3 linked regions of the Zea mays genome follow. Each later gene encodes a partner of the first gene's protein in a complex. Links are inferred from orthologs where the notes say so. Each region holds a gene or a part of one and is shown in the gene's direction. Other genes may lie near its edges.

What was found.
Region 2: THO complex subunit 6 (region 1) and THO complex subunit 2 share a complex: the UniProt entries of both Arabidopsis thaliana proteins name them as parts of the THO complex. The link is inferred for Zea mays from reciprocal best matches to the Arabidopsis thaliana genes DWA1 and THO2.
Region 3: THO complex subunit 6 (region 1) and THO complex subunit 3-like share a complex: the UniProt entries of both Arabidopsis thaliana proteins name them as parts of the THO complex. The link is inferred for Zea mays from reciprocal best matches to the Arabidopsis thaliana genes DWA1 and TEX1.

What each region holds. Positions count from the first base shown.
Region 1 is NC_050102.1:102,980,232-102,990,262, reverse strand, and holds the start of THO complex subunit 6, read left to right. Parts: upstream 1-4,852; 5' UTR 4,853-4,991; coding exon 4,992-5,237; intron 5,238-5,322; coding exon 5,323-5,432; intron 5,433-5,926; coding exon 5,927-6,003; intron 6,004-6,569; coding exon 6,570-6,615; intron 6,616-7,087; coding exon 7,088-7,148; intron 7,149-7,276; coding exon 7,277-7,330; intron 7,331-7,479; coding exon 7,480-7,560; intron 7,561-7,658; coding exon 7,659-7,698; intron 7,699-10,031. UniProt on the Arabidopsis thaliana protein: Acts as a component of the THO subcomplex of the TREX complex which is thought to couple mRNA transcription, processing and nuclear export.
Region 2 is NC_050098.1:214,422,188-214,432,336, forward strand, and holds the start of THO complex subunit 2, read left to right. Parts: upstream 1-4,138; 5' UTR 4,139-4,323; coding exon 4,324-4,467; intron 4,468-4,558; coding exon 4,559-4,687; intron 4,688-5,207; coding exon 5,208-5,249; intron 5,250-5,378; coding exon 5,379-5,438; intron 5,439-5,525; coding exon 5,526-5,588; intron 5,589-5,878; coding exon 5,879-5,959; intron 5,960-7,239; coding exon 7,240-7,314; intron 7,315-7,403; coding exon 7,404-7,451; intron 7,452-7,536; coding exon 7,537-7,605; intron 7,606-7,759; coding exon 7,760-7,893; intron 7,894-8,333; coding exon 8,334-8,409; intron 8,410-8,777; coding exon 8,778-8,968; intron 8,969-9,239; coding exon 9,240-9,320; intron 9,321-9,410; coding exon 9,411-9,606; intron 9,607-9,999; coding exon 10,000-10,149. UniProt on the Arabidopsis thaliana protein: Acts as a component of the THO subcomplex of the TREX complex which is thought to couple mRNA transcription, processing and nuclear export.
Region 3 is NC_050102.1:86,885,521-86,895,439, forward strand, and holds the start of THO complex subunit 3-like, read left to right. Parts: upstream 1-3,908; 5' UTR 3,909-3,933; coding exon 3,934-4,053; intron 4,054-4,841; coding exon 4,842-4,937; intron 4,938-5,557; coding exon 5,558-5,687; intron 5,688-6,182; coding exon 6,183-6,271; intron 6,272-6,823; coding exon 6,824-6,892; intron 6,893-8,207; coding exon 8,208-8,265; intron 8,266-8,401; coding exon 8,402-8,501; intron 8,502-9,295; coding exon 9,296-9,382; intron 9,383-9,919. UniProt on the Arabidopsis thaliana protein: Acts as a component of the THO subcomplex of the TREX complex which is thought to couple mRNA transcription, processing and nuclear export. Contributes to the integrity of the endogenous trans-acting small interfering RNA (ta-siRNA) pathway.

The sequences.
Region 1 (10,031 bases):
TATGTCCTTCATAACCTTCGTCCGAAGATCATTGTATCCCAAGGGAAATAATGCTTCGAAGGACGAAGGACTTTAACGTTTAACATTCTTTGTGTTGCCTTGTTCTTAACTCATAGCATTCGAGAACAAGTCCCCAACAAGTTACAACCTTTATTGTGAATTCAAATGGGAAGTTTCAAGGACAAAGCAAACACATCAGTGGTGCCTTGAAAAGACTCCATGCAGCGGACGTATAAAATTTTATGTATATCTTGAATCGCAAGATCTAATTCTTGCTTAGTAGCTTTCACACAGGAAATGGTGTTTGCACTAGCTCAAGCCTCAAAATTGAAAAGCTATTTCGAAAACCAAAATCCATTGGACACTATGTGTACTATTGTTAGGTTTGAGAAACAGAGTGTTCCTGTTGAAAAGCAGTTGAGCTTTTTAAGCTGAGTTGATCTTCTTCAGCTGCAGTTGAGCTTTTTCAGCTGAGTTGAACTTCTTCAGTTGAGTTGAGCTTTTTCAGCTGAGTTGAACTTCTTCAGTTACAGTTGAGCTTTTTCAGGTGAGTTGAACTTCTTCAGCTGCAGTTGAGTTTTTCTAGCTGAATTGAACTTCTTCAGCTGAGTTGAGCTTTTTCAGCTGAGTTGAACTTCTTCAACTGCAGTTGAGCTTTTTCAGCTGAGTTGAACTTCAACTGTGAACCTCTCTGACCATATACTAGTTGAACTTGCCTCCAGGCCAGTTGAACTGGAGTTTTCTCTCCTAAACTTTCTGGTCAATACCAGTTGAACTGGTCCCCATGGGCAGTTCAACTGGTCTGTGGGACATCTGCTCAGACTGTCCAGCGGTCTGCCAGTCAGACCGGCAGACATTCTGACATGTTAGATAGGGGCAGTTGAACCGCCCCCTAGGGCTGGTTCAACCGATCTCAGCCTATTTGACCAGATTGTCCAGCAGTCTGCCAGTCTGACTGGCAGAAAGGCTAACAGTCAGACTAGGGGCAGTTCAACTGCCCCCTAGGGCGGTTCAACCGGTCTCCCCTTGAAAAATCAAGTCAGACAACTACTTTTGAAGAGAGCCTATATATAGCCCCCACACCTATCTCTTCATAACTACTGGTCACACACACATTCATTGCACACCTAATTTGAGACAAAGGCACACTTCTTCCTCTCACCCAAAATTGCTCTCGATTCAACTCGATTGAAGGAGCCCTTTGGTGTGAGGTTTGTGCTTGTGCTCACAGATTTGGTTTTCCTCTCCCGTCTCACTCTAATCTCTTGAGCTTGTTGCAAACACCTCTTGTGCGATTTTGTGTTCTTGAAACCCTAGGGTTTTAAGATGAATTGAGGTTGCTTGGGAGTCTCCAAATTTGTGGACGACCCCAAGAAGTTTGTATTCTCCTCTCTTGTGAGCAAGTTTGAGAAAAAGAATCGCTTGACCTTGGTGGTCGGGTTGTGGAGGATTAGGATTGAAAAAGACCCTGCCCTTTGTGGGCTCCTCAACGGGGAGTAGGACACCTTTGTGGTGTGGCCGAACCTCAGGATAAATCTTGTGTCTTGTGTTCTTGCTCGATCTATGATTGTGATTTTATTTGGCAAGATAGACATCATATAGGTTTACTCGCCGTGTGGATCTTGTGGTGAATTAACTCTCGTATTTTCACCATCCACGCTTAGCTTATCTCTCGCGTTTTCCACTATAAGAGATCCATCTTCTATTTTCTGCACAGTTCATAGTCTAGATTTATTCTAGCAGTTGAACTGGTTCAGAGTAGTTCAACTTGCCTTTATTACAGTTGAACTGGCCTGCACCAGTTGAACTGTAGATTTAACATTATCTCGAAGGTTCTGGTGATAATTTTCAGGTTTAGCCTATTCACCCCCTCTAGACTACTTTTAGTAGGCATCATATCCTTCAGGAATTTTTTGATACGAAAATCCTAAATTATGGGCATACTGGTTTTTACCCTATTTCTTAAATGTAATCCTAAACCACCTAGGAGGAACCGTGTTAAGAAGAGATAAGCAATTGTGCCTTGTCTTCTGAAAAGATAAAAGGTGTTTGTCTTTCAAATCTAGAAAAGACAGTTTTCTATTATGTCACATAAGTCCAACCTAGAATTTAATCATTTTTTGCACTACACATGCAATGAGAGGTGAACATAGCAACCAGTGTGGAACTACTTAAAGGTCTGTTTGTTTCAGTTTTTTTCTGACGAGCTTTTACGAGAATTTGATTGTAGGGATAATATGGATGTGAGGAGAATTTGAGTATTATGTGGATTACATGCGAAGGAAAATGAAGGGGTCCATGGGGTTTAGGATCTAGGAAGTGATGGATTCCTCCTGTCGCGACGACTCGACCGATTGTGTGTTCACGTTAATTTTGAACAACTTTCATCAAAGCGATCCTCATAGAAGCGAACTGAGAAGCTGAGCGTTTGGTAGTCCGCGACAGCTTGTGACAGCTAGAATCAGCAAAAAAGCTGAAAAACAAACAAACCCTAAGATGATGGAAGAGCAGTTCCCTTGCCATGACCAATATTTTATCAAAATACATAGCACAAGCTATGTGGCTAGAAAAAAACCAAAATATCTTATAACTTGGAAATGGAGACTTAAAAATGTTGGCTAGGACATTAGGCTATACTTACAGCCTCCTCACTTGTCATAGATAACTTCATTTGTGTTCTATAGACTATTTTAATGCATGTCACTCCTTTTTTAGCAACTGCATTTGATACATGTGATTATAACCAATGATGTGGAATGTTTTGTTTGCAATTTAGGAAGAAAACAATTTAGAAGTTCGAGTGTTCTTAGATTTAGTGGATGATAAGAAGTGGAAAATTTGGGAAGAACACAGGTAAGTGTGTGTGAGGATAATTTAATTCACTCCCATATAATGTGTGCAAGTGTACAAAATAATGAATTAGCCTGCCATGGTTTGGGCCTGTGTATATAAGGTTCTCGATACAATATGCATGTTTATTTTCATTTCTATCAGCTGATGTATTCTCATTCCTATCGGTTGATGTAACAATGAGTAATATTTTTATATTCTAGAATTCATGGGTTGGTCGATAGTGCAAATTTATTGGCCCGAAATCACTTGCCTCTTATTCCACCATGGTTATCTCGGACTGCCTACTTAGTTTAGTAGTTTGAGGAATTTCTAGCGGGCAACATGTATAAGTGTCTAGGGTTCGGTTGGAAATTGTCAATTCATGTCGCATAAGAATATGTGCGATATTGATATCAATTATAATATATGTATTGTTTGTTTTCATGTAATCGTTGTGCACTAACATTTTATCGAATAATTTGTGTGTCGTCACAACGCACGAGCATTGTACTATATATTTGAAGCACCAGCTGAATCGACATATGATCCATATGCGTTTGTATAACCTCATATATGTACTCACACCTACATGTTAATTTGGTATCTACAACCATTGGAAACAATGCCTATGGGTATCACCCTAGTGATAAATCGGAACATGCTCATAGCTCAAGGTTCAAATGTCATTTTTTGGAAAAGATGTCCATGAAAAGAAAATTAACAAATAAATAATCTCAAATCCAATTTAACCTTAAAAATCATTAGAAAAAACTACATTTATATTTAACTAAAACATGCTCTATTATTAGATCCAGTTTGAAGTTATTTGGGTATTTTATGGGTTCATTATGATGTTTATTTTATAGTAGTTATTCTTCTATCTATAATACTTATAATTGACTTGGAGGAACTAGACTTCATATAGAAGGGTGACCTCAACGATTAGAGAAGTGTTGAGGAGAGCTTTTGGTCGAATATCTATATTTGATGAAAATTGTTGCTTTAGTCTATTTTCAATTGGCTACCTCCGAACCATGTGTCTAAATCGGAGGCTTAGGTCGGCTCTCCATCAAGAAACGACAAGCCAAAGGAGAAGGAAGAAATGAAACTTTAATAGGATTGAACTACCTTAGTACGTTATCGAAGGAGGAAGAAAAGGTGTATACAACACTTCTTCCCTAAAAAAGACATAATGTTAGTCTCTAGTTGTACATAGTCTTCATATAGAGGAGTGGACATTCTTTTTCTGAGTTGGAATGTGTGTAATCTTGATCTTATAAATAAGTGTACAATGCCACTGTTACAAGGGTTGGTCACTTGTATGTCTAAGCCTGTAGCACCTTCGTGCACAAAGAGTATTAGAAGGTATGTCATCTTCAAGCACTTAAATCAGTTTAAGAAACCTTCAATACCTTCCAAAGGTTTCATAACTGCTATGTATTCCTCATCTTTGTTTAATCCAATAAAGGAGAAAGGAAAAATGTAGACCCTTGTAAATTGAATACATGCTTCGTCTACGTTATTTAATGGTACATTAGAACCCATCAAAGATAAAAAAGAGAGAGACTTTACTTTAATTGTGTTGCCCAGTTGCGTTTTTTTACAAAAGCTTCAACAAGTCACCAATAACAAATATCTTAACTAGCTCATCAACTAAGCACTGCATATGAGGTCATTACATAACACTCATAACATTGTCGAAGTCACTTTGCCCTTGCCTTATACAAAATCCATGTCACCATAATGTATCCATAGAAGATTCAAATAACTCCACAAAAGATTCTAGAAAAAGAATTCAAAATTGTTTCATATTTTTGTCGAGCAAAACCATATTTTTGTGTGAATTAGACTAGATTTTATTTTTAAAAAATTGCATAACTCCTAAGGGAGATGTTCTCAAGAAAACCATATAAATATTTTTTCTTATAAATTTATTTGTTTAAAATCATAAGGGAGCGTGCCACAAAGGCTTAAAGCATTTTGATGGAAAAGTTTAAAGATGGGCCAGAAGCCGGCGGAATTCTAGTTGAAAGAAGCCCAGCCCAACCCGCTGTCGCTTTCACTTTTCTGTCGGGAACTCGGAATTGTCCCCGTCTTCCCTGATCCCTTCGCTCCCCGAAGCAAAAGCGCAGAGCGCATCAGCGCAGAGTAGGACAGCCATGGCGACGGCGGCGGCGCAGTCCCATCCGGCATCGATGGACGCGCGCCGGTGGGACGAGTCATCGTACCGCCGCGGCATCCTCCGTGCCCGCGACCTCTCGTCCCGCACCCTCTTCCGTGCCGTCTTCTTTGACCACAGCGACGACCCGGATACCGACATCCTACTCGCCGCCGCCTCCAGCGACGGCTCCCTCGCTTCCTTCTCCCTTTCATCCTGCATCTCCGCATGTTCCGCTACCTCCCAGGTTCGTACCCTTTGGCCAGAACTGATTTTTTGGTGACGCACGCCCAGAGAGGCGTAGAGTGAGTTTTTCTTGGTCTGGTTCTCAGGTGGAGACCGCCGCCACTCTGGTAGATCCTGTCTGCATCGTGCAAGCGCACAGCGGACCTGCCTACGACGTCAGGTTTTACCCCGATCAACAGCAGCCGCTGCTCTTCAGGTGACTGACAGAATGTTTGACTTGGCATGTTTCATACACATGGCTAGTTACTAGTTGAGGCTAAAAATTCGCTTAAATTAGCTGTGGTTAGCTAGCTAGTTGGCTACCAACTAGTTGAAGACTTGGCTAAAAAAATTAACCCACCAATTTGCCCTCCTGTTCGGTGGATGCGCTAAAGCTAATTTTGGCTATTTCTTTAGCGCTAGCAACTAGCCCTTGTATCCAAACAGGCTCTTATCCTTATTGACTTCTCCAACTAGTTGAAGACCTGGCTAAAAAAATAATCCACCAATTTGCCCTCCTGTTCGGTGGATGCGCTAGAGCTAATTTTGGCTAATTCTTTAGCACTAGCAACTAGCCCTTGTATCCAAAGTTTCCAAACAGGCTCTTATGCTTCTTGACAATATTACCCATGGCAATGTGCTTCATTTGGTTGGAGACGGTGATGGGTTAATGGTTGTGCGGTTCTTTGGCTGCTTACTTCCTTGTGGCAGCTGCGGGGACGATGGCCGCATCAAGGGTTGGAGGTGGCACGAGATGCAGAGCTGCCTTGTCCCGCTCTCCCTGCAAGGTGCTGCATTCGAACTTCCATTCTTTTTTGACGTGGTTTCTTTCATAAATGGTCATATGCTTTACCAGGCCACTAGGGCATTGCGATGCATCTAGCACAGGTGCACCGAAAAAATATGCACATTTTTTACAATGGTGTAGGTTTGATGCAGGAGAAATCATGAATCATGCCCTGCACTGGCATAGATACAAATCTAGAATCTTGCCAGTGCAAGGCATGATTCATGTGAAAATGTTTCATAGTTGCTACTTATTTTATCTATGAAGATGCATCAATATCTTTTGTAGTTTTTCTGTGTGTTGCGCCTTGAAGGCCAAGTTAATATTATTTCAGTTTTTTTAATAACCAGTATAGTTGTATTGATAAAAAGTGAAACAAGGCATCTGTTGTTTTTCGTACATGAGAAAAGGTGGAAGGAACGAGCATATGTTGTTTTTCCTATAAAGGAGAAAAGGGAGAACAAACGAGTATCTGTGTGGAAATGCGCCGAAAATTGCCTAGTGCATCTTCTACATTTTGGTCATTGTTATTGCTTTTACCAATTTTTCTGTTGCCTTTGTTCACAGGGGATCATCTGGAACCAGCACTTGACTTGGTCAACCCTCAGCACGAGTAAGGATTCTGTGATAAAACTGCAATCTCAGACCTTCCAGTTTACACCGTTTATTCCAGCAGCTGCCCCCCCCACCCCCCCCCCCCAATTTACCCTGTTTGCATTGTTGCTGCTCAAGGTTATTAAAACGATAAAACGCTCATGGGTGAAGTTTTGACTTTTAAACAAAGTTTAAACTTAGTTTTGAACAACATAGGAAAAATACCAATATATCATAATTTCAGACAATAACATGAAGTTAAATACCAAAATAGAGAGGCTAGTGGCTTATCAAAACTTCACCCATGAGCCAGATTGGACCCTAACTAACAGACTGGGCCCAAAAGTAGCTAATGGTCTAAAACACATAAAACACTGCGTTTTACAGTTTAGAACGACAAAACGTGGTTTCAAGCTCTAATTAGCGTTTTGACGTTTAAACATAGTTTAAACGTAGCTTTAATAACATTGTTGCTGCTGGCAATTTTGTAGGGGTCCTTGGGGTGCTCGATCTCCAGTACCTGAAAACAATGCCATTGCAATTAATAAACAGGTTAACAACTGGAACTTTTCATGTTTTTATATCCTCCAGGAAGTGTGACTGTCCCAAATTTTCGTTCCTCATGCATATTGCTTGGTTCAACAAATCTTATTTTCTGTTATCATCATTCTTCCAAACAGGATGGATCCATTTTGGCAGCAGCGGGTGATGCATGTGCTTACTGCTGGGATGTGGTATGTATTTTCTTAAGGTAAATTGAACACACATAGAAGGAACTGCAGTTCTGCTTTAGAGTCTTTAGCATTACAAGCTTGGATAATATCAATGCTCTGTGCTTGAGAAGGTATCTGAAACTAATGCTAATCATGACTGCTTCTCTCAGGAGACCAGTAAATGTAAAATCACATTCAAGGGGCATGCTGATTATTTGCACAGCATTGCAGTTCGTGAGTCAAACCGCCAGGTTATTTGATTATCTTGGCTTTCCATTATTTGATGTTCATCTTGTCTATAATATGTACAATATGTGATATGTTACTAACTGACTTATTTTTTGATCAGGTTGTAACAGGATCAGAGGATGGGACAGCTCGTATCTGGGGTGCGGGTTTCAAACCATCATCCTTTCCTGTCTTGTGCATTGTATTTTTTTTTTCTCGAAAGAGCGCAGGAGGACTGCGCACCCATATATTAAAGTAGAGGGAAAATAAAGGGCCATAAGGACCCAGGTACAAGCACTCCTTATGGAGGCCAGAAACAAGCATACACAAAGCTATCCATAAAACTGGACAAAAAACACTACAGCCCTAGGAGCTAGGTAGTTTGGCTGGCCAAAAAGGAAAGCCCCTTGGCACCAGCCAGCCGCCACGTCTCCTGTTCATCCTCAGCAGCTTGAAGAAGGAAGGAGATAGAGGGGGTCCTTCCATCGAACACCACCTTGTTTCTATGATTCCAAATCATCCAGGCCCCTAAAGCAACAAGGGAGTCCAGTCCTTTCTTTCCCATGTTGAGGACCTGAGCCGAGGAATTCTCCCACCAACCAAGGAAGGAAGGCTCCACTTGCTGAGGGGATAAGCTGTGTAACCCAAACTTTCTCAAAAGCCTATACCAGAAAACTCTTGAGAACACACAGGAAACCAGCAGGTGATCAATGCTTTCAGGTTCTTGATCACAAAGAGGGCACCTAGCCGGATGGTTCATGCCTCTTTTCTGCAGCCTATCAGCAGTCCAGCATTTATCATGTGCCACCAGCCACAGGAAGAAATGGCACTTGGGTGGCATCCAGGATTTCCAGATTCTTTTGTGGTGAAGAAAGGAGCACGATCCCTGGAAGAGCCCTTCATAAGCAACTTTTGCTGAGTAGTTACCATCTGGCGCTATGGAAAAAATGTGTCTGTCTTCAATATCAGGATGTAGCTGAAAATCCGTTAAAGCTTCCCAGAGATGCAGAAAATCAATCAAGGCCCCTGCTGAGAGAGCGCCCCTAATATCACTAATCCATCTCCTATTGTCCATTGCCTCTTGCACTGTTCTTTTATTGGCAATTCTTTTTGATATGGTGCAGAACAGTCTTGGTGCAATATCAGCTACCTTTTTCCCATTAATCCATTTATCCACCCAAAAAAGAGTATTCGCACCATTGCCAACCTCTGACATCAACACTGCAGAGAAGAAGGACCTGGCAATACTTGGGACCTGAATGGGTAGGTCCACCCATGGCCTCGAAGAATCAGTTTTTTGCAGCCACAACCACCTCATTCTGAGAGCCCAACAAAGCTTAGTCAGGTTAGAAATCCCGAGGCCTCCCATATGTAGAGGCCTACAAACCTTTTCCCAGGCTACCATACAGTGACCTCCTTTAGCATCCTTTCTGCCTCTCCATAAGAATCCCCTTCTAATTTTATCAATTGCATCCAAAGCCCACTTAGGAAAATCAATAGCCATTGCAGTATAGATTGTCATACTAGTTAGGACATGCTGCACTAGAATTCTTCTGCCAGCTTTGTTCAACAACTCTGCCTTCCAGCTTGGGAGAAGATCTGCAATTTTCTCAATAAAGGGCAGGAGCTGCTGTTTGGTTAGTTTGTGTAGAGAAAGAGGGAGACCCAAGTATTTGCAAGGTAGGGACTCCACCCCACAAGGTAACAAGCTTTGAACCTCCAGGATGGTCTGCTCCGAACATCTGATAGGATAAATACTGGATTTCTGCACATTGTTGTGTAGACCTGAGGCATTCCCAAAGATGTTGAGAATGTCCAGAGTAGTGGAAATGTCATTCTGAGTTGGGAGCAGGAAGAGGGCCACATCGTCAGCATAAATAGAAATTCTATGAAGTTTCTTTCTGTTGGACAATTGTTGCAGCAACCCTGTCTCTTCAGCTTTGGCAAATAGAAGGCAAAGGACATCCATGACTAAAATAAATAACATGGGGGAGAGGGGATCCCCTTGCCTGAGCCCCCTTCTATGTTGGATTTTATTGCCAGGGCACCCATTGAGCAGCACTTGAGTAGTTGAGGAACCAAGTAACCCACAAATTATATTTCTCCAGATTTGGCCAAAACCCAAAGCCTGCAGCACCTCAATCAGAAAAGGCCATGAAACCGAGTCAAAGGCTTTTGTGATGTCGAGCTTAAAAAGAAGACATGCCATATTTTGCTGATGTAAAAATCTTGAAGTTTGCTGCACTAATATAAAATTGTCCTGTATAAATCTGCTTTTGATGAAGGCACTCTGATTTGGGGAGACAAGCTCATGCAGATGACCAGCAAGCCTATTGGCCAGGATCTTGGTTACCAATTTTGCAAAGCTGTGCACAAGACTAATCGGTCTGAAATCCTTCACCTGATCAGCCCCATCAAACTTTGGGATCATAGTAATATATGCAGAATTAACTTTATCCAAGTTATTGAAGTTCCTACACCAAATTGCTGAAAC
Region 2 (10,149 bases), on another chromosome or scaffold:
AAACCAATCGTCGCATCAATCTCGACGCGTCATAGTGAAGGCAAGGATGGTGGCAGGTGCCAAGGAGGCATGATGGGCACCAAGACACCGTACCGTGTCTTTGCTTCCTAACATGCATGGTGAACCTGATGGTAATGGCCAGGGATCCACACGTTAGTGAAGGCTTCACACAGGATGAGGATGTGGGAGCATGACAACATGGCAGCGAGCAGCTACATGGTAGAGCCTGGTGACTGTGTGACCATGATGTAGCATGCACATACGACACCGTGACAAGACACACACGTAACATCTCGGAGTGACAACTTGGGCATCAAGGAAGTGACTGTGGCAAATCTGCAAATGGGAATGGACATGTATGCGCCATGGGTGTGTCAAATGCGCACATGACATGTTGACATTGGGGTGTTTCAGATGGCTCCAATTTCCACTTAGTGTGGAGCTATAGTTTATAATATCAATTTAAATAGTTATAAAAATATTTTCAATCTAAATAACAAACAAAATGACTTATCTAAATGTATTATAAAGGCTTATAACTCTAGCTCCATGATTTTTCTAGAGCACCTAATGACCTGCTCCACTAACCCCACCAAATTTTCTGGAGCTAGAGTTGTCCCAAACATGGCCATTGTTGTTATGTGTTTATAGGCATTTCATTGAGCAATTGGGGCATCCATGTGTTGATTTTTATATCCAAATCATGGCCGTTTTGGTGTAGACCTAGGTGTGACACTATATACAAAACATCTTCCACTTAAGATGATCTACAAAGTCTACTACGTAATTATTATTATTGAGGTTCTAGACTAGTGGACAATTAAGGTTAAGTTTTGCATTGTCAAAAGGTTTTTTTGGTCATGAACTAGGGTTTGGAACTTCTGTTTCGGTTCAAAATGAAAGTGCGCCTAGGAAGTTCAATAGGTCAAACTTTGCCAACTCAAGTGCTATATAACATCAACTTTTGCATTTGATTCACATTTATTTGTCTAATAAAAGCGGGAGGACATATAGTATCAAATTTGTAACGTTAACCCAAATTCAAGACAAGTACTCTAAGTTGTTTTTATGAATTTGAATTTGTTCTAGAATAGAGGTTTCAAATTTAACTATCTGTATATTGTTTTCTAACTAATGTTATATACTACATTAAAGTACATGACTTGTACTCTCTTATTTTCAAAATATAGTTCTTTCTGACCCTTTTTCGTCCACGTTCGAATTAATGATAACGAATGTGGTACATACAATACATACTACATTCATAGACTAATCAATGAATGCATGTTTAGTCTAAAATGAATTGTATTTTGTGACAGAGGGAGTAATGTATTTCTTATGATGACAACATTTAAAGTATTTATACAAACAATTATCTATTTGACTAGTTGAACGTCTATTAAATTTTTATCTAAATTTTAGAGTTTCCTTTGACAACCTTCCTCATATAGTTGTAGTTTAAGTCTTTAATAAAAGTTGTTGATGAACTTAATTAAAGTTCGTTAGAAACAAAGTTAGCTCTAGTCAAATATATGTTAATATTATTTATTTAACAGGTTAGATTCAGAGCTTGTAGGTTTCATCATTTCAAGTGCTTCCTCTTTTATTCTTTTTCTTCCCCTTTCGCTTTTTTCCAGGTAATGATTGGATGCTTGTGCATCTTGTGTTGATGATTTGTATTACTTTCATATTTGTAGCCATTAATAATGTTTATTATTGTTTTAATTGTCTTTTCACCAATATAGAGTTCGACTTCCCTTTAAAGAGCTTGACCTCTATAGTTTTATCATTACATATGCTTATTTATCAAGGTTAATCACTAGTTAAATCTAGTTAAATTAATTTGTATTGATGTATAATATGAAATCATATTTTAGGTTGGGCGTTGACTTTGTTTTGAATTGCACCATTTCCTATTTATGATTATTATAGGAATCACATGTAGTCCTTAGAAACGTTAACTTTGTTTTTAGTAGGTTAGAGGGCTTCATATTTCTTCGTTGACCAAGATGAGTTGGATGTGTGTGTTAACATTTTTTGGTGACAATTAAGCACGAGTCCACCAACTTATGTTTAACATTTTGTTTTCATGTCCTCATATATTTGAGTTCCCTTCCACCTTGTTCTTATTTAGTCGGTTCTTAACTAAGTTGATGGTTGCATGTTTTAGGGTTGACTGCCTTACTAACACTTAGGTTGTTAAAGTCGGAGGGATGCCAGGTCGTCATGATTGCACATCTCTTGATTGTAAGGTCGTACCAATACTTAACCTTCAAAATAAAGTCTGGCTGAAACTATTAGTTCTCCTAGCTACCATTGTTGTTGGTGAAGTTCCTTTTCCACTTTATTGCACCTCTCTTGATGATAAGATTATACCAACACTTGACTTTATAAGTAAAGCTCATTTGAATCTATTGGATCTCCTAACTACTAGTAATGTTCCATGTTACATTATTGACTATCAGTACAATCCTTCGAATGGTTCGATGGCATCATTGAACATGCTTTACGTTGATAGTTTGTCATCATCGACCATCTAGGCTATAAGCATATCTTGTACATTGATGAGGAACAGTAGGTGAGTTAGAATCAAATTAGACTATAATTAGTTACTTATATAAAGTGATAAACTATTATAACTTAATATTAATAAGTGACATGGATAGCTAAATATATATTTGTGGATGACATGTATTGATACATGGAAATCGTAATTGCATCTGCTAACAGGTTGTGACTGATATAGATAGAAAATACAGTTAGGCCCGTTTGGATTCTTGGCATTGAATCCCATTTTATAACAGTAATTTAGGCATAAATCAATTAAGTTAACATGGTTCAACGCATAACATATTTGTATACCACTGTTAGTTATATGAGGAAGATATTTATGTGCAATATTTTCGGTACAGATGAGCGAACTGAAGAGCGTGTTATAAATTGCAGAGCAGAGTCATAGCTTAAAGATATATAAAATCAATTTCAATCCCTCAACTCTATGAATTTGAGACATGTTTATATTTGAACTTTAAAAAGTGGTTGAATACCAAATCTCAAACTAAGTAGGCTACTATATTAAGTAAATTTCAATTCCTTTAAAATAAAGAGATCCAACTGTCCCTTAATGTTCAGTTATGCTATAAGACACAAGCTACGAGTGTGGTTGTACTAATCTCCCAGTCTCAACGTCTGTGCAACATCATAGTGTGTAAGTTTGAAAAAAATGCGAGAGTCAAAGCTAAAGACCTAAAAAACATATAAATCTCTCTCTATCTAATACTAGAGTGTGATTTTTTTTTCTTCAAAATCACTACATCACACTCTTTCGTCACTCGACCCACTTTGTGAGCGCGAGTAACTAATTTTATTTAGTATATGATAAATTCAATATCTTAACATAGATATACATGTAATTTGGTGCTAATATTTAATTATGTTGTTAAGAATATTATGAAAAACAAGAATAATTTTTTGTATATTTGTTCGTGCATTGTTTTCTTCATACATGGAAAAAGTAAAAAACACCCAAATTTGAATCTGTATGCGTATCTGGATTTTATACCAATCATTTAAAAAGGGTTAGAACAAATTTAATGTTTGTTTTTTATGAATCTTAATAAGCTCAATGCTACACACAAGAATATAAATTATATATCCTACTTGTCACAATTGAAGAAAGTAGCCAAAAAATTTAACATCACATTCCAACGCACATGGACTGGATGAGAATATGAGATACACGAGCATCCAAATAAAGCTATAATTGATTTACCATCTATCCACAATTTAAACTCATCTATCGTATGAATACAAGGGATCTAAATTATTATTCGGCTTAACTCTTATTTTTTGTTACTATATTTAAATGGATGATGGTAAATATTTATATATAAAAAACATACATCAACATTGTATAGATTCATTAAAATTCTTAAACGAATTTTAGTTTGGGATAGAGGGAGTATATAACTACGATATATAATCTGATTCTAAAATGCACAAACGAGAACAAATGATCCAATATATAAACTCTGTTGAAATGTACATATTCGTTTACTTTGGTAGCTATTATGAACGCTGGATCTGGACCGTTGACAGCTTAGATCGCACTAGGCAAGCCTCTGTTTTCACTGGTGTAAAACAAAAAACGGAAGCCACGCATCCCGTTCTTGCTTGCACACACCGCGCTTCTGCCGTCCTTGTCTTCCTCGCCTTCTCCATCGGTACCACCCCGGTCCTGCTCCTCTTTCTCTGGCCTTTGGCAGCTCCCATGAAACCCTAATCCCCAAAACCCTCACCCGAACCAACACTGCCGCCACCGCCATGTCGCCCCCTCTGCAGGCGCCCGACTACAAGCACATCACGGATGAGTCCCTTCGCGAATGGAAGGGCCAGTCCGCCGGCGCCTTCCGCATCCCTGATCCGGTCCCCATGGCGCGCTTCCTCTACGAGCTCTGCTGGGCGATTGTAAGCTTTCGACAGTTCGGGTTGCTCCGTGATTTGGTTTTCCTCCACCCGTTGGTCCTTCTGTGCTGACTGGGTGGGCTGGGATGCGCAGGTGCTGGGCGACTTGCCGCCCCAGAAGAGCCGAGTGGCACTGGAGTCGGTGGTGTTCGTGGAGGAGGCACGGCGGGAGGAGGAGCTCGGCTCCGTGCTCGTTGATATCATTGCCCACCTAGGACAGGACGTGAGTATATGCAATTTATTCTGATGCCATCGTTGTGGGTAGTAAGTTTGTTTCGTGGTGTCTGGTGTGTATTTGATTAGTTAACTTTCTCAGACTAGGATTGTATGATTGTATCCTGTCATGTGTTTTGGTGGCACTAGCTATGTGTATATGGACTGAATTGGCCACTTTGTAGCGTTTATGAGGTGTCTGTGTCTCTAAGAAGTTCTGTTTCGATGCATTTCTTTGAACTAAAAGGTGGACAATAGAGACGACACTGTATAAATGCAAATAATACTATTCACTGTGCCATTACCATTTCCCATCATATAATTTTAAATGTTTTCCTGCCTCTGTTGCTTTTTTATTTATCTGCTGCAATTAGGTTATTAGACTTTGACCCATGATTCACTGCTTTTACGTTTTACCTGACATGAGCTTTGGCACCTGTGTTTTTTTGGATGAGTTTTTCTCCTCGTGTTTTGGTTTAGTGACATTCCTCTAATAGTGTTTAGTCATTCTAACTTACTTCAAAATGCAGATTACAATATCTGGTGAATATCGCAGCCGTCTTGTTAAAATGGTAATAAGTTAGGCATGACTTCTAAAGCAAATGAAACAATTCGTACTCCTCGATGTCTACTTTCTTGTTGGTTTAAAAATGGGACTGCTTAAGTGCTCATTGAGTTCTATATGGATACTCATCTTGCAGACTAAGTCATTTGTGGAGTCGTTGATTACTGTGCCTAAGCTTCTGCAAGAGCGATGTGAAGTGAGTTTTTTTATTCCTTTTGGCATCAGTTTAAGATAAAGCTGATACATTACATGCTTTCTATTTCCTCCACCCATGGACTTGAAGGAAGATTTCCTTTGGGAAGTTGAGCAAAGTAAGCTAAAAGGCCAGGATTTAAAATCCAAGGAGGTACGCATAATGTGCTGATTTCTCTATCTGTCATACACGTTGAGTCATGATGTTTTATGCTGGCATCTTATTGCGGGCACACATTGTTAAACTTTTTTTAAGTAAACTAATTTACCATGGTATATTCATAGTATCCTTATTCTTTTTCTCAATCACATTCATGTCCTTACCTTTCCTCTATTATCGTGGTTCTTGAGTGATTTACTTTTGCCTCATATTATTCGGTGATATGTTTTTTCTTTTAACATTAGCTATATGATCGATTGACGTTGATCTGTAATTGGTAACAGGTTAGGGTCAACACACGGCTTCTTTACCAGCAAACTAAATTCAACCTCTTACGGGAGGAAAGTGAGGGCTATGCCAAGTTGGTATGTATGTCTACTTGTCCCGATTTTGTGTTCTTTTTTTTGTTCTTGTAGTGATTTTAGAGCGGCAGCATTGATTAGGCCATCCCTATAAAACATTGGATGACACCCTTCGTAACCACCATGTTGACTAATCTATTAGAAAAATGGATCAGATTTTGTGTTTCTTTTTTCTGCAGTACCTCGACATGACATGAGCGTGAAAGAGGTTCAAGAAACTGTTTTCTTTCTATAAGGGATAAATGATTTAGTTGACTAGTTTATTCCTTGGATGCACATGCTTATGAATAAAGATAACCATAATCCTGTTCCTTGAATGGTAGTTGATGGTTTGTCTACCATACTGCCTTGTCCATCTGGGTTTTGTCCTTGTCTGAAAGTGCATGCTTGGCTCTTGTACTAGCCTGATCAAATTCTACCGCAACACATGTTGCACCTTGAGTGTCGTGACTGGTATGACCACTCTTGTAACCTCTGCTGTTGTGCTTTGTCACAACCATAGGTTGTTAGGAGGGAAATTGAGAAGCTGCGACAATCCATTTGCTGGAGTAAGAATTAGTTTATTAGGATGAGGTCAAAATTTAGCAAAGTATCAGTTCTTAGTTTCTTACATCCCCCTAGAGTTTCTTAGAAATGCCAGAGGGCCATGAACCTACCAATAACCTAAAAAATTTAGATTAGTACTACACCGTTCCAAATTATAAGATATTTTGGTTTTTGGATGCATCAATTGCTTTTCCTATGTATATAGACATAGTTTATATCTTCCTTGCCGAAAAAAGATAGCGTATATCTATGTGCATAACAAAAGCTATGTACATAGAAAAGTTAAAACATCTTATAATTTAGAATAGAGGGAGTACCAAACAAGTGCACTGTTCAATGTGTTTTGGTTAAAGTAATAAGTACATATGGATGCTAAGGATAGGAAATTAATATAAATATAGTAGGAATCTATGAGTTTATAATTCCCAAAGCAACTGTTGGAAATGTGTTCCAATTTAATCACTTTAGGCTATCTCCAGTAGCTCTCTTATCTCCTATTTCAAACTCACTCTGTAAACAATGATGTCTACAGTGCTAAGTGTGCTATGCTTAGGAATACCACGTCCTCTATCTCTATATAGACTTGTACTTTGAAAATTACCTAAATGATTGTACCTCGCCACTGTCTGTGATTTCTGCTAATCATGTTCTTCCTATAGTTTTGTAAGGTTCTTTTGTGATGCTTATTAATGTTTAGCGGTTTCTTACCTACACATCTGTGTGTGTGGATCATTCAGGTGACACTCCTTTGTCAAGTTGGTTCAGATCTGGCTTGCCAGAATTCTTCTTCGGTTACGATCAGCATTATAAAGGTTGTCTGTAGGCCTTAATTCCCTCTGTGCTATATTTTTAGCTTTTTTTACCAGTACTGTGTAATAACAAATTGTTTATTTTGTGGCAGTCATTGATTGGCCATTTTGATCTGGACCCAAATCGTGTATTTGATATTGTGAGTCTTCGTTTGCTATGCCAATGCTCTTAAATGTCAGAGTGTGGTGTTGAAGTTGTGCAATTCTGTTGTTCTTGTCTGCCAGGTGTTGGAATGCTTTGAACTCTACCAAGATAGTAACATCTTTAATCAGCTCATACCTCTTTTCCCAAAGGTATTTGTTCTATTAGAATTAGAAGTTTAGAACCAGCATCCAATAATAGGAGTCTCATAATTTATGAATATTTTCAGCTTTTTACCACATCTCACATGATTTTTGTCATAATTAATGCAGCGTTTTCACAATTTAATACATTTTTTTATTTCAGTCCCATGCTGCCCAAATTTTGGGGTTCAAATTCCAGTACTATCAACGATTGGATGTCAACAGCCCTGTTCCTTCTGGCCTTTTCAGAACAGCAGCTTTATTGATCAAATCTGGATTCATCGACCTTGATAATGTGTATGTTTTCTAATTGCCTACTCATCCATGGAAAATTCATGATGGCTAACATTCATCTTGAAGATCATTATACATCTCTAATTTAAACAATTGTCAGATCTTTTCCTTTTATTTTATGCTGTGAGGTTTTGTAGCTATGGTTTTCTCAAGGTGTAACCAACAAAAGCATTGTTCTTCAATCTTTTATCTGTACCATGGTGGCCATTTCCTAGTTTCCCAATTTTATCACAGTTTTCAGTGTTGTTAGATTTCTATCAGTTCATTTTCCTCAAGTTGTGCAAATTTAGGTGTTACTGAACCAAAGGGAACATATATAAATATATGATTTCACTGATTGTAGCCTCTCTATGTTTTTTTTATGTTCTACTATATATAGTTTGGTTGGTGCTGGACTATTTGTTTCTCGAATGGGATCTGTCATGACCATTTTTTCTCTCCAGCTATTCTCACTTGCTTCCAAATGACGACGAGGCGTTTGAGCATTTTGATTCTTTCATTTCAAGAAGAATTGATGAGGTTGGTATTTCTTATAAATCTGTAACTGGCCAAGAGAGTAGCATGAAAGGGAGTGGCAAGAAGGTTGATGGATGGAAAACTTTAGAAGTTTCTTGAAGTAAAAGCCTTATGTACAGCCATCCCTTCATGTGACATATACTGCATGGTTATGTTACACGTTGTTGTCTTGTCTAACTATGTACAATATTTTCCCCTTTTGTCGTAATGAAAAACAGAAAGAGCTTTAGTTTTTTTCTTCACCGGAACAATTTCTACCTCCACACGTGGATTTGATCTTACATTAACAATATGGCCATATTGATTTCTCTTTATGTAGTGTAGGACATTGAGGCTTTGACTAACGAAGTTACTCTTTTTCTTGACTTTAGGCTAATAAAATTGGCAAAATCAACCTTGCTGCTACTGGGAAGGACCTTATGGATGACGAGAAACAAGAAATTACTATTGATATGTATACCGCATTGGAGATGGAAAACGATATAGTTGGGGAGCGAGCCCCTGAGATGGAAAAGAACCAGAAACTTGGGCTACTTCTTGGTTTTCTCTCTGTGCATGACTGGTAAGATACATATGTTCCGTTATTTTTTACTTGTTCTATAATTATTAAATGAACACAAATGTTTTTTATTGTTTTATTCATAGGTGGCAATCACTTTTCTGTAGGAGATGCACCAATATTCTGCGCACTTTGTAAACATAATTGTTGTATAATCATATTGTGAAGACAATACGCTATTTCAAAGCACTTTTTAGTCTAGATTGACTTTGTTGGGACAAAAATGCTTTATTGTTGTAAATATTACTGATTGCTTTCCTCTGTTATTTACTAGGTATCATGCACAACTACTATTTGAGCGTCTTGGGCACCTAAATCCTGTTGAGCACATTGAAATCTGTGATGGATTATTTAGGTTTGTTGTATTTCTTTTGATCCAATGATTATATTTCTTAGGTTTATGCAGTTTAACTTATATTCACCTTTATTATTTTCCTTTATGCAGAATGATTGAAAAGACAATGTCTTCCGCATATCATATAGTTTGTCACCTGTATTATTACCTGCCTCCTAGAAATGATGCTGACCAGACAGGCACATCTGCTGTGTCTGTAAGTTCATTTGATCTGCTGAAGGAGTTTTTCCAAATGCTCACCGCTTGTGGACCATATCTTCATCGTGATACTCAATTATTTCAAAAGGTGACTTAAATCTTTTACTACTGCTTGCTATCATGCATACTTGGCGCTGCCAAACTGATGGCTTAGTCCAGGACACAGATGCTACATTATTGGTTGTGGCATTGGAATTCATACAGAAGCACCATACTAGCCCTTGCATTGCACCTAGCCATAGTCATGACTAGAATTTCCTCCATTCGTTGCGATAAACCAAAATGTCACTGTTGTTGGCTTGTTGCCTAGTTATAACAATCAACAACCAAGTTTTGCAGCTTTGCAGTTGCTGTGCAAAATGTTATATTTTTATTATTCTTTGCTTGGAATTTGCAAGTATCCAGTTTCACATGAATACTCTACCAGTGAAAATGTTGAACATCACCATGTACTTGGTGACCCATCGTCCATGTTTTTTAGGTTTGCAGAGTATTAAAAGCGTACTACCACTCATCAAAAGAGTCAACCCGTGTAGCGAATGTAGTTTCACCAGAATCTCGAATCGAGGAAGCACTTGGGTCGTGCTTGTTCCCTTCGTTGCAGCTTATCCCTGCTAATCCTGCTGTTGAT
Region 3 (9,919 bases), about 16 Mb from region 1:
CTTGGATATGTCAATATAGCCAGTTAGAAAAGCATGTGCAGTTGTATGTCATATGTCGTTGTGAACACAAGAGCTAAAGTACACATACCCTGTTAAGGTCGTGTGTCTCCAATTTAGGCAACGGAGCAGGCATGAACATGGACCACATATCCCTTTTGAAGCCTATGTACATAGCAACATCAAAATAGTAGTAATAGGTGGCGACGGTGTAGCAAAAGGTATGGCTGCAACTGTGACGGCAAAATGCATGCAATCCTCTCTTTGCAACTCAACATGCTTGCTACACTGAAAAGTTGTGAAACTGTCTATGTTTGGTGCCCTTTAAACCTTGATATCAAGAATAACATATGGCTGTCATAGAAGCAAATAATTACTTGGACCTGACGGTGTTGTCTGGACTGCCTGAGCCAACGACGCTCCCATAACCTGTATCAGTGAACAACTTCTTCACAGCCAACTTGCTAGGTGAGCGCGACGATTTAGAAGTGTTGACGTATTTATTCACAAATGGACTGTTATATAGTAGGCATAAGAAGGAGCACAATTTTTGCTGATAAAACTTGCCTCTTCCTATAAGCATATTTTCGTTCTTTGGTCGCCATAACCAACTGGCAGAACTTCAGTACTCCTAGAAGCATGATGTAGAGGAGCATCAATGGTAGGATGCCTGCTACAAACATGCCTCCATCAGATTAGAAATAGTACTCCCTTGAACAACATCACATATTCTTTTGAGTAAAATGGAAGCACAAGGGAAATGAGAGAAGAAGGGCTTTAATTAGTTATCTGTTTTAGTGATTAGCAAACCATCATTTTTAATCCAAGCTACTAAGAATATTTCTATGCTTTATACTATAAGGGAATGACTAAGTAGTGGGTTGCTTTGTGATGACTGACTTTTATTTTCTTGACAAAAGTTGGCATACTCTGCATTTACAAAGAAGCAAGAAAAGGGTCACCGATAGCTTTGTCTATCAGACAACCTTCATAAAAAATTTTGTATGCTAAAGAGTGTTCCAGAGAACCATAGGTTTTGTAAGAAGATTTGCACAACAAAGACTCTAAAAGCTATAGATTTCGAGTGCACGAGTCCTACAAAAAATAGACATGATATTTATTTCACTTCAGAAAGAGAAAACACTAAAAAATAGAACTCGAAGAAGGGGGTCCTAAATTAGTTAGTTGTTAAAGCGATTGACAAAGCATAATTTCTCTTCAAGCTGAGGAAAACATTTTTTTACATCCTGAGGGAATGGCAAAGCATCAGACTGTTCGTGATGGAGAAATCCTTTTTCTTTTGAAATAAGTGTATGTACCCTGCAATCTAAAAAATCAAAGCCAAGGACAACTTTATCTAGCAGACAAATGGAGGTAATAATTGTATGCAGATTGATTCACTACTGGATGAAATTGCATTTTTTCACAAATTGTAGCCTCCCTAAGCTCCTGGCACGAACGAAGCATACAAAGCCAAAAAACTGAACTCTAGAGGAAACAATGGCAGTAGCAGCAGATGAACTAATCTACCAGTTCTAGTAAACATGCATGAGAAATCCTAAAGGCAGCTCTGAATTGGCAAGCGAACTAACATGAGAATGGAAATGAACCTGCACCCAGGGAGGCCTTCTCGAGAGATAGGTCATGAACGCTACGAGCACCACATCAGGCAAATCCCTTGGCGACGGTGGATACGACACACAAAGAATGGAAAATCGCAGGCCTAAGGAAGGCGATTTTGGGGGAAACTTCAGTTGTAGGGCACAAAAACGCGAATTGAGGATGAGGGGGACTGAGGAGGAGATAATAAAAGGGAAGAAAGTACGAACCTTGTGTCCATGCCGCGACACTGCTTAGACGTGGGGTTGTTGTCAAGGCGCGCATCGTCGTGGTCAGAGAGGACAGTCACGTTCAGGGCTGGCGAGGACGAACCCCAACACATCTTCTCAAAGTGGAAGCTGCCTGTGGTCCGCGCTAGAGCAGGGGGCACAACAGCAGCGTCAAATCAGCCTCCATGGGGACAAATCACGGATGGTGTCAAGCGGAGGCTAGGGCTCGCGGTCGAATGCGACCTTCGCCTGACTGAAGGACAACCATACACCCGTGCCCATGCCTCCGCGTGCCGCGACGGCATGGCGACCTGCGAGGCGTGACCTGAGCACCTGCCAGCAACAGACGTTGGTCACTATAGTTGGCAGATGCGACGCTATAGCGGATGCGCGGCGACCGAACGGCGAAAGGCAAGGCCTGACCTGAGCTGGTTTCTGCACCGGACACCAAGCTCTGTAGCATGTGGGTGCGCACTGTAGCGGTGTCTGGGAGCGCGACACGAGGAGAGAGAAAGCATGCATTGGCGACACAGGCAAGGCAGGGCACGAGGGGGGCACATGTTGGCGCGTCCGATGCTGTACTGCCACGCGTCAGTAAACGTTAGGTGCCGAACCCGTGAAATGCGGTCGGTGTTTCAAACCGGGTCAGGTTTTAAGAACTTAGATATATATGCATAATTTGATGGGTTACCTATTCGGATACACCTAACCTTTTCTACCATATTCCTTGATCAAACTTGGGTATTATACTTTACCTTCGTAGCTATGCTATTGCTACAACTTAACTTTATGCAGTCACTCCGATTTGTGATATTAAGGTTCCAATTGGTAAGTTTACATTATTGTTGCTAATCCGACGATTAAGCAAGATCATATGATTTAATTGGAACATGAAGTGACCACCCGGGAAAACAGTGCTACCATGAGGGTGGTATGGGACGCCCTTGGCTAAATAACTAGGGAAGTCTTATGTTGGGTGCTGGTCGTGGTCGACCGGAACGGGGGCATCTGGCAAGCGCTTATATTTCTGGCTCAGACAGATTGGATACATGCATAATTCCCAAAGCTTTACCCTGCAGACTGGACTATAAGTTGGTTACGTTAGATGTGCTCTATGCAGTTTGACCATTTCCAGCATTTGCATAATGAGGACTCTAGGGAAAAGCCTCGTAGTGAGACCTTAGCCATTCACCTCGGAAGTGAATACAGGTCTAGCTAACCCAAGCTAGAAGGGGATCGTGACTCATGGGTAAAGATGCGCCACCTCTGCAGAGTGTAAAACTGATATATCAGCTGTGCTCACGGTTAAGAGCAGCCTAGACTCCTCACATGATAATTGAACTTGAAGATGGAAATAAATCGAGATCCGATGATCTGCCAATGGTTTGCTTAAGTGGTTTCACTTAAGTGTTTTTGATATACTCTTATACCTTTGTTTAATGGGAATACTTGGGATTCACACTTATTAGTAAGACAAGTGTTGTTAATAAAATGTTGACCAACTAAAATGCCAATCGCATTTAACTTTAGCCTTACCTTGTTACCTTGCATTTTCCCCCACTTGCTGAGCCCTGACCATAAGTGAGCTCACCCTTGCTTAAATTTTGATCAGAAGTTTGCAGATGAAGTTATGATGCTGAGCTCCATGGATGCTAGTCTATTGATACCCCCGGTCATCTTCCTGTGGATGGATGTCCATGTTTCGCTGTACTTTGATGAATAAAGGTTAAGACATTATGTCTGTTCGAAGTGTAACATGTTAATATAATCTTTATTTACGCTCTTATGTATCATTCTTTTAATATATTACACTTGTAATGTCAATATATGTGTGAAAATAAATCCTGGCACACATATGCTATGCACCCGGCTCTGTCTCAAAGAAACGGGTGTGACAGTTAAGGAATAGGTTTTTCTTTCAAAATGAAGGTTGGTAGCTTATGGAATCATGGGCCTAGATCATATTAAACAAACAGGACCTGAGTTGCTGAATGTTTTAATGTAGCCTAGCCCATCAGGCCTGGCCCGATCTCTTCATGGGCTAGTTTGTGTACTTTGGGATTGGAATTGGATTACTCCCCTCCCGGACAAAACGGGGCGAGAGCGCATGGAGAGCAGAGAGGAGGAGAGGAAGGGCAGCGGTGGCGCCGCCGCCGGCGGCGGCTCGACCCCTGGGGCGAATCTAAGGGACCTGGTGTCGAGGGAATACTACGGCCACAAGAAGAAGGTAATACCTCTCAACGCCTCCCCAATATCCCATTATAATTTCTTCTGAGCCCCTATAAAACCCAGAATCTCGCCAGAAGAAAGGTTTCGAAGTTCCAATCATTAGGGTTGCAATTCGTAGGGTGAGGCCCTAAATTCCGGCCTTGCATGCAGAATGATGAAACAAGGTGCGGAAGTAACAATCTTTGGGCCTTCCGGTTTGGTTCCTGAGAACATAGATGGGATCGTGGACCTATCTTGCTTTCGATTCGAAGCTATAAGCGTGGAGAGGGGATTTAGCTATTTCTTCTCTTTATATAGAGCATGAAAGGAGTCAATGTTAAGGCATGATGAAAACGAAATATTGCTGCAGCCACAGTTAGTTGCAAATGAATTTAGTTGCAATAGGCAATCTATTTTGGTTGTCCTTTGTTGCAGCAAAGGGGCCGTGGTGCCTGTCCTTGCAGGGGAGCAAGAGCAGTTTTCCTCTGGTTCTATAAAGAAATTTGAGATTATCTTAGGGCATGTTGTAAAGTTGCAATGAGGAGAAATAAGAAGGAATGATCTTTCTTTCAGGATGAATATATGACATTCTGAGGATGTTTTTTCTTTGTTTCTTACATTATGTTGAATGTGTTGCTTAATTGTCCTTAACTCCTCATAGCGATCTTCAAAGCAAAACCACTCTACCCTAGTACTTGTCGGTACAAAATTTAGATTGATTTGTGGGTTCTTATTTTTGCTTTGTTTTATGCATTTCTTTGGTAATCTTATCATTGTGTTCACCATTCTGATAGTTTTTATCATTAGGTGCACTCTGTAGCATGGAACTGCCTAGGCACAAAGCTTGCTTCAGGATCGATCGATCATACCGCACGTGTCTGGAGCATTGATCCACATGTCCATGTAACTTTCTCTCCTTCTGTCCTTGGTACCAAATTTATCTTTACAGAATGGGATACGCTCCCCACTGTTTTCTTATTAAGATAATGATCGGTTTGGTAAATTTTGAAAATCTGCATAACTGGTATATTCCCTATCTTATAGAACCTAGATAATAAGTTATGACATTGAACTTAAGAAAGCATTAGTTTGCGTGATATGCCAAAGAGGGACAAATGCTTCTCATCTGCACCTCCCTTTTAACTTCAAGCTTTGGCTATTGCAGAAATTGTGACAGGTACTTTACAGTAATATTCCTGTTTCTTTAGCTTGTGCGCAATATAATTTACTTTTCAGTTTATCAGTTATTGTGGTGTAACTCAACATATAATGTTCTTATAGTGCAACGAAACCTTTACCATAATTTGTAGCACGAGACGTGGTTTTATTCTGAACCGATGGAATCTTCAGAGTAAGCTGTAGAGTTTTGAATAACTTTTAACTAGAGTATATTACCTTGATTCTTAATAATAGCCCTTTCTATGCTTTTCTATTTGGTAGCAGAGAGCCAGAGAGTGTAATTTCAGCGTATGTTTCTATACCATTGAAAGATCTAAATGGGAACTTGTGCTAATTTGTTACAGTCTAAGGTTAAAGATATTGAACTGAAAGGCCACACAGATAGTGTAGATCAGCTTTGCTGGGATCCAAATCATCCTGATACAGTTGCTACTGCAGCTGCTGACAAATCTATTCGTCTTTGGGATGCTCGAAGTAAGTAGCACAGTTCATCCATGATGTTGCTAGAAAGCACAGTTTTTCTTTAGCATTTCATAATGCATTTAGCATTATACTTCTTAAAATCTATGAAATACATCTTTTATTTTGACTGCATCTGGATCCATATAAATTTCTATAAGCTGGTAGAAGCGAAGTTCATTCAGCTTTTGAGATTGTGGAAGCGGGCTTGTGAAGATGGTGGGTGTTTGGAGACCATCCTAGCTTCTACAGGCTCGAACCTGGAATCTGATAAGATCCAAACAGGCCCTTTGTTATTTCCTACATTACCCCACATTTACAACAAATTTGATGTGGAAAGATCTATTATGTAATAACTTTATCTGGAAGCTATTTTGTCATATGTGACATCTGGCTTTCAGATGATATATGTTGTATTTTTTGTTCTATCTTGGACTCTTGGTGGTAGTTTCTGTCAATCAAGTTATAATGATTTTATCTTCTCGTCAATGCTTCTTTGTGTCTTTTTAGGTGGAAAATGTCAAGTTGTTGAACTTAGTGGAGAAAACATCAACATCACATATAAACATGATGGCACTCAGATAGCTGTTGGAAACAAGGTTTGTACTGCCTAACTTTTCTCTGCTAATGCCAAGAATGGATACATTTAGAAAACTGACCTATATTAATGTGGTTAGGTTTATTTATTTACAGTAAGATGGATTGTTCTACTGTCACTTTTGGCTTATACCTTTTTCAGCAAGTACGTTAAAAAAGTTCAGCCATATTGCTATTTTGGTGTTTCTTTTCTGGAAGTCCTACAGTTTTGCATTGCTGAATCCTGTACCAGTATGGCAGTATCATAACAATATAGAATATAGAATTGGATTATGCACCTAAAGTTGTACATATAGGCATATTAATTAATCAATTAGATGGAGCTGTGACATGTTTTATTCTGTTTGGTTATAGATAAATATTCTTGAGCTTGAGAAATCTATGTAAATAATTTAAGTAATTTGTGAAAAACATGCATTTTGGGGGAGGGGGGAGGGGAATCATATAAGGTTAATAAAACTGTATCTATATGATGTTTACAAATTACTGAAACTCTAATTTTTTCAAATTATATATTTATATGTCTACAATAACAGTTTTGTTATGGTTTGTAGGAGGATGAGCTGACGATATTGGATGTTAGGACACTTAAAGTTGCTAAGAAACACAAGTCTACTTACGAGGTAATTATAAATTGAAGCTTGGATATATGAATCATTTTCTAACAACTCTTTGTTTGATCCAACTGTTCTTTGGATTAGGATGCACATATACATGTCGGTAGAAATAAAATAAAATAAAATAAAAACTCGACCTGGAGGGGGTAAGACCGCCCCACGACATTATATTAAGACCCCATGACATTATATTAAGAAGACCTCATGCAGGTCGAGAAAACCCTCGAACCCCTGCTCCACCCATAAACAGCGGCACCGTAGCCCATGTGAGAACGACTGCGACCGGGGCTGGGCCTTAGACCTGTGCTTTGGCGTGGGACAAACGAGGGTTTTTTTTAACCACAGCCTGAAAATTCACTCCTACGGGGAGTTAAACCCAGGACCTGAGGAGTGCTACTCAGAGCATCTAAACAACTCGGCTAGAGACCCTTTCGCCTTGTAGAAATAAAATGAGCAGCACTGTTCTTGTGTGCTTGTCTGAGACAATTTGATGTATGGATGTTTTTTGAGTAAATGGGTACTGCTGTATGAATTTAGCAAATAATTGAACATATACTTTATTTTAAAACTTGACTTGCGGGGGATAAGACAACCCCCATACATTGTATTAAGAAGAAGACCTCACACATGTTGAGAAAACCTCCGGACACCTGCTCCAGTGCTCCACCCATACACAGTGGCACCATAGTCCATGTAAGAACGACCACGACCAGGACCAAGCCTTACACCTATATTTTGGCATGGGACAGACAAGAGGATTTTTTTAACACTGTCTGAAATTCGCTCTCATGGGGAATCGAACTCAAACCACCTAGCTAACTCAGCTAGAGGCCCTTTCGCTCGTATACTTTATTTTAATTTGTGTATTGCTGATCATGAACCTTTCGGCAGATGAGGTTTTTTTTTCACCCCAGTATAAAATTTGCTGTCATAGGGAGTCAAACTTAGGACCTGCTACTCAGCCACCTACTCAGACCTGGGGGTGGGGGGATGGACTGATTTGCCATTTTGGCCTCTCCCTCAATGCAATGATACACATTATGTGTGTTCAAGGAAAAATGTTGCTTTCACTGTTTAATGTTTGCAACTTTGTATTATTGCTTTGTTCCTGAGATGAATGAGATCGCTTGGAATAAAGCTGGAGATCTATTCTTCATTGCAACTTTGCACTTTTTTTTTTGGGGGGGGGGGGGGGGGGGGAGGGAGGACTGATTTGTCATTTTGGCCTCTCCCTCAATGCTGATACACATGTGTGTTCAAGGAAAAATATTGCTTTCACTGTTTAATGTTTGCAACTTTGCATTATTGCTTTGTTCCTCAGATGAATGAGATTGCTTGGAATAAAGCTGGAGATCTATTCTTCATTACTACTGGGTTAGGTAGGATACTAAATGCTTTCTCCAAGCTCACGTTAATAATACTGAATAAATAAACACTGTATTTACATTTTGGCAGATTTCTAGTGCTACCATATTGTATCAGTTAATGTTTCCGCATGGTCTATTGGTCATGCAGGGCACGTTGAGGTGGTTAAGGATCTTGAGTTTTTAAAGCCCTGCAAGCTGAATGCTCATACAGCAGGGTGTTATTGCATTGCAATGGATCCACTTGATAGGTATTTTCTATTGAAGGCTCTTTATTTATTCTCGCCCCTGGTACTTCTTTGGATCACTTGGATTTGTAATTTGTACTACTTCAATTGGGTTATCTGGCCTGCTATTTGATTTAAGATGTATGTAACAGTGAACTCTATAAATATTTGACACTGATGCTTGCATGATTAATTACTTTAATTCCAATTAATACTGCCACAACCTATTCACATATATTTTGGCTATTAGAATAACAAAATTCTTTTTCTTTTTAAAAGACCAGAATAACAAGAATTATTGAAATTTTATAGCCTAGCTTCATCTCTAGGTAAAGAAGAAATTGTTAACTAATAGCAACCTCTGGGTGAGTGATTAACTAGGACATGACCTACATGTAAGTGAGTTTGAGAAGAAATGATTACCTGTTCTGTTCATGCAACTACTGAATTCAGAATTTACATAGAGGAGCAATTTAGTTTGCCAGTGGATCTAGTTTATTTTCTACGCTAGATACTTTGTCCTGCGAACTGTGAGGCTCAATATACCACCACATAGATTGAGGTGGAGAAAATCGCCTGATGTGTGACTGAGTCTGGGCCTAAATGACGGACCCATATTGTATGGTTCCAATTAGCCTTGTTTGTGATGAAAGCAATTATGTTCAAGTTTTGGTCCACAACAATATGCAAGTAAGCTTCATACATTTTGTAGTCATCTTTTGGATATAGTAATCAGTTATCTGGTTTCCAGTTACTCTGATTTTGGGAGAAGCTATAATTGTTTTTCTGATGACAGTTACAAATTGTTCCAATGCTAGGTATTTCGCTGTTGGAAGTGCAGATTCACTTGTCAGTCTTTGGAATGTCAAAGAGTTGTTATGCATTAGAACCTTCACAAAACTTGAGTATGTTCTTCTACCTTAACTTTACAATGTAACATTGCTAGATGGGAATAGTCTTGAATGGTTTTATTATATTTCTAAACATGAGTTCTCAGTTGTCATTATTGTTCCTTCGTTGGAAGACTATTTATTAAATTTTAAAGGTTTGAGAGTTTTGTGTGTGTGTTGGGGGTGGGGTGAGTGTCAACATCTTTTTTTTGTACTCTAGAGAGCATGTCAATGCAATTGAACTTAATGAAGGATTTGCACATTGGTACATTACACTGCACATCAGTTAAGTCCTTGACATATTTAATTGAGCCAATTGGTGGTTGCTATCATCAATTTAGGTTGATATGCAGTGACGGCCTCAGGGAATTGAAAAAAATTGACCAAGGGTCAAAGTTATTTTAGCCCTGGACTTGTAGCCCCTATATCCCCATTTTCCAGTGAGCACTGCTATCACAGGATAGTGGGAACTATGATAAATGGTGGATGGGTGGTTCTCACGTAGTGGTTGAGTCTCTCCACTTCTCCTGGTTTCCAATCAGCCTCCTTGCG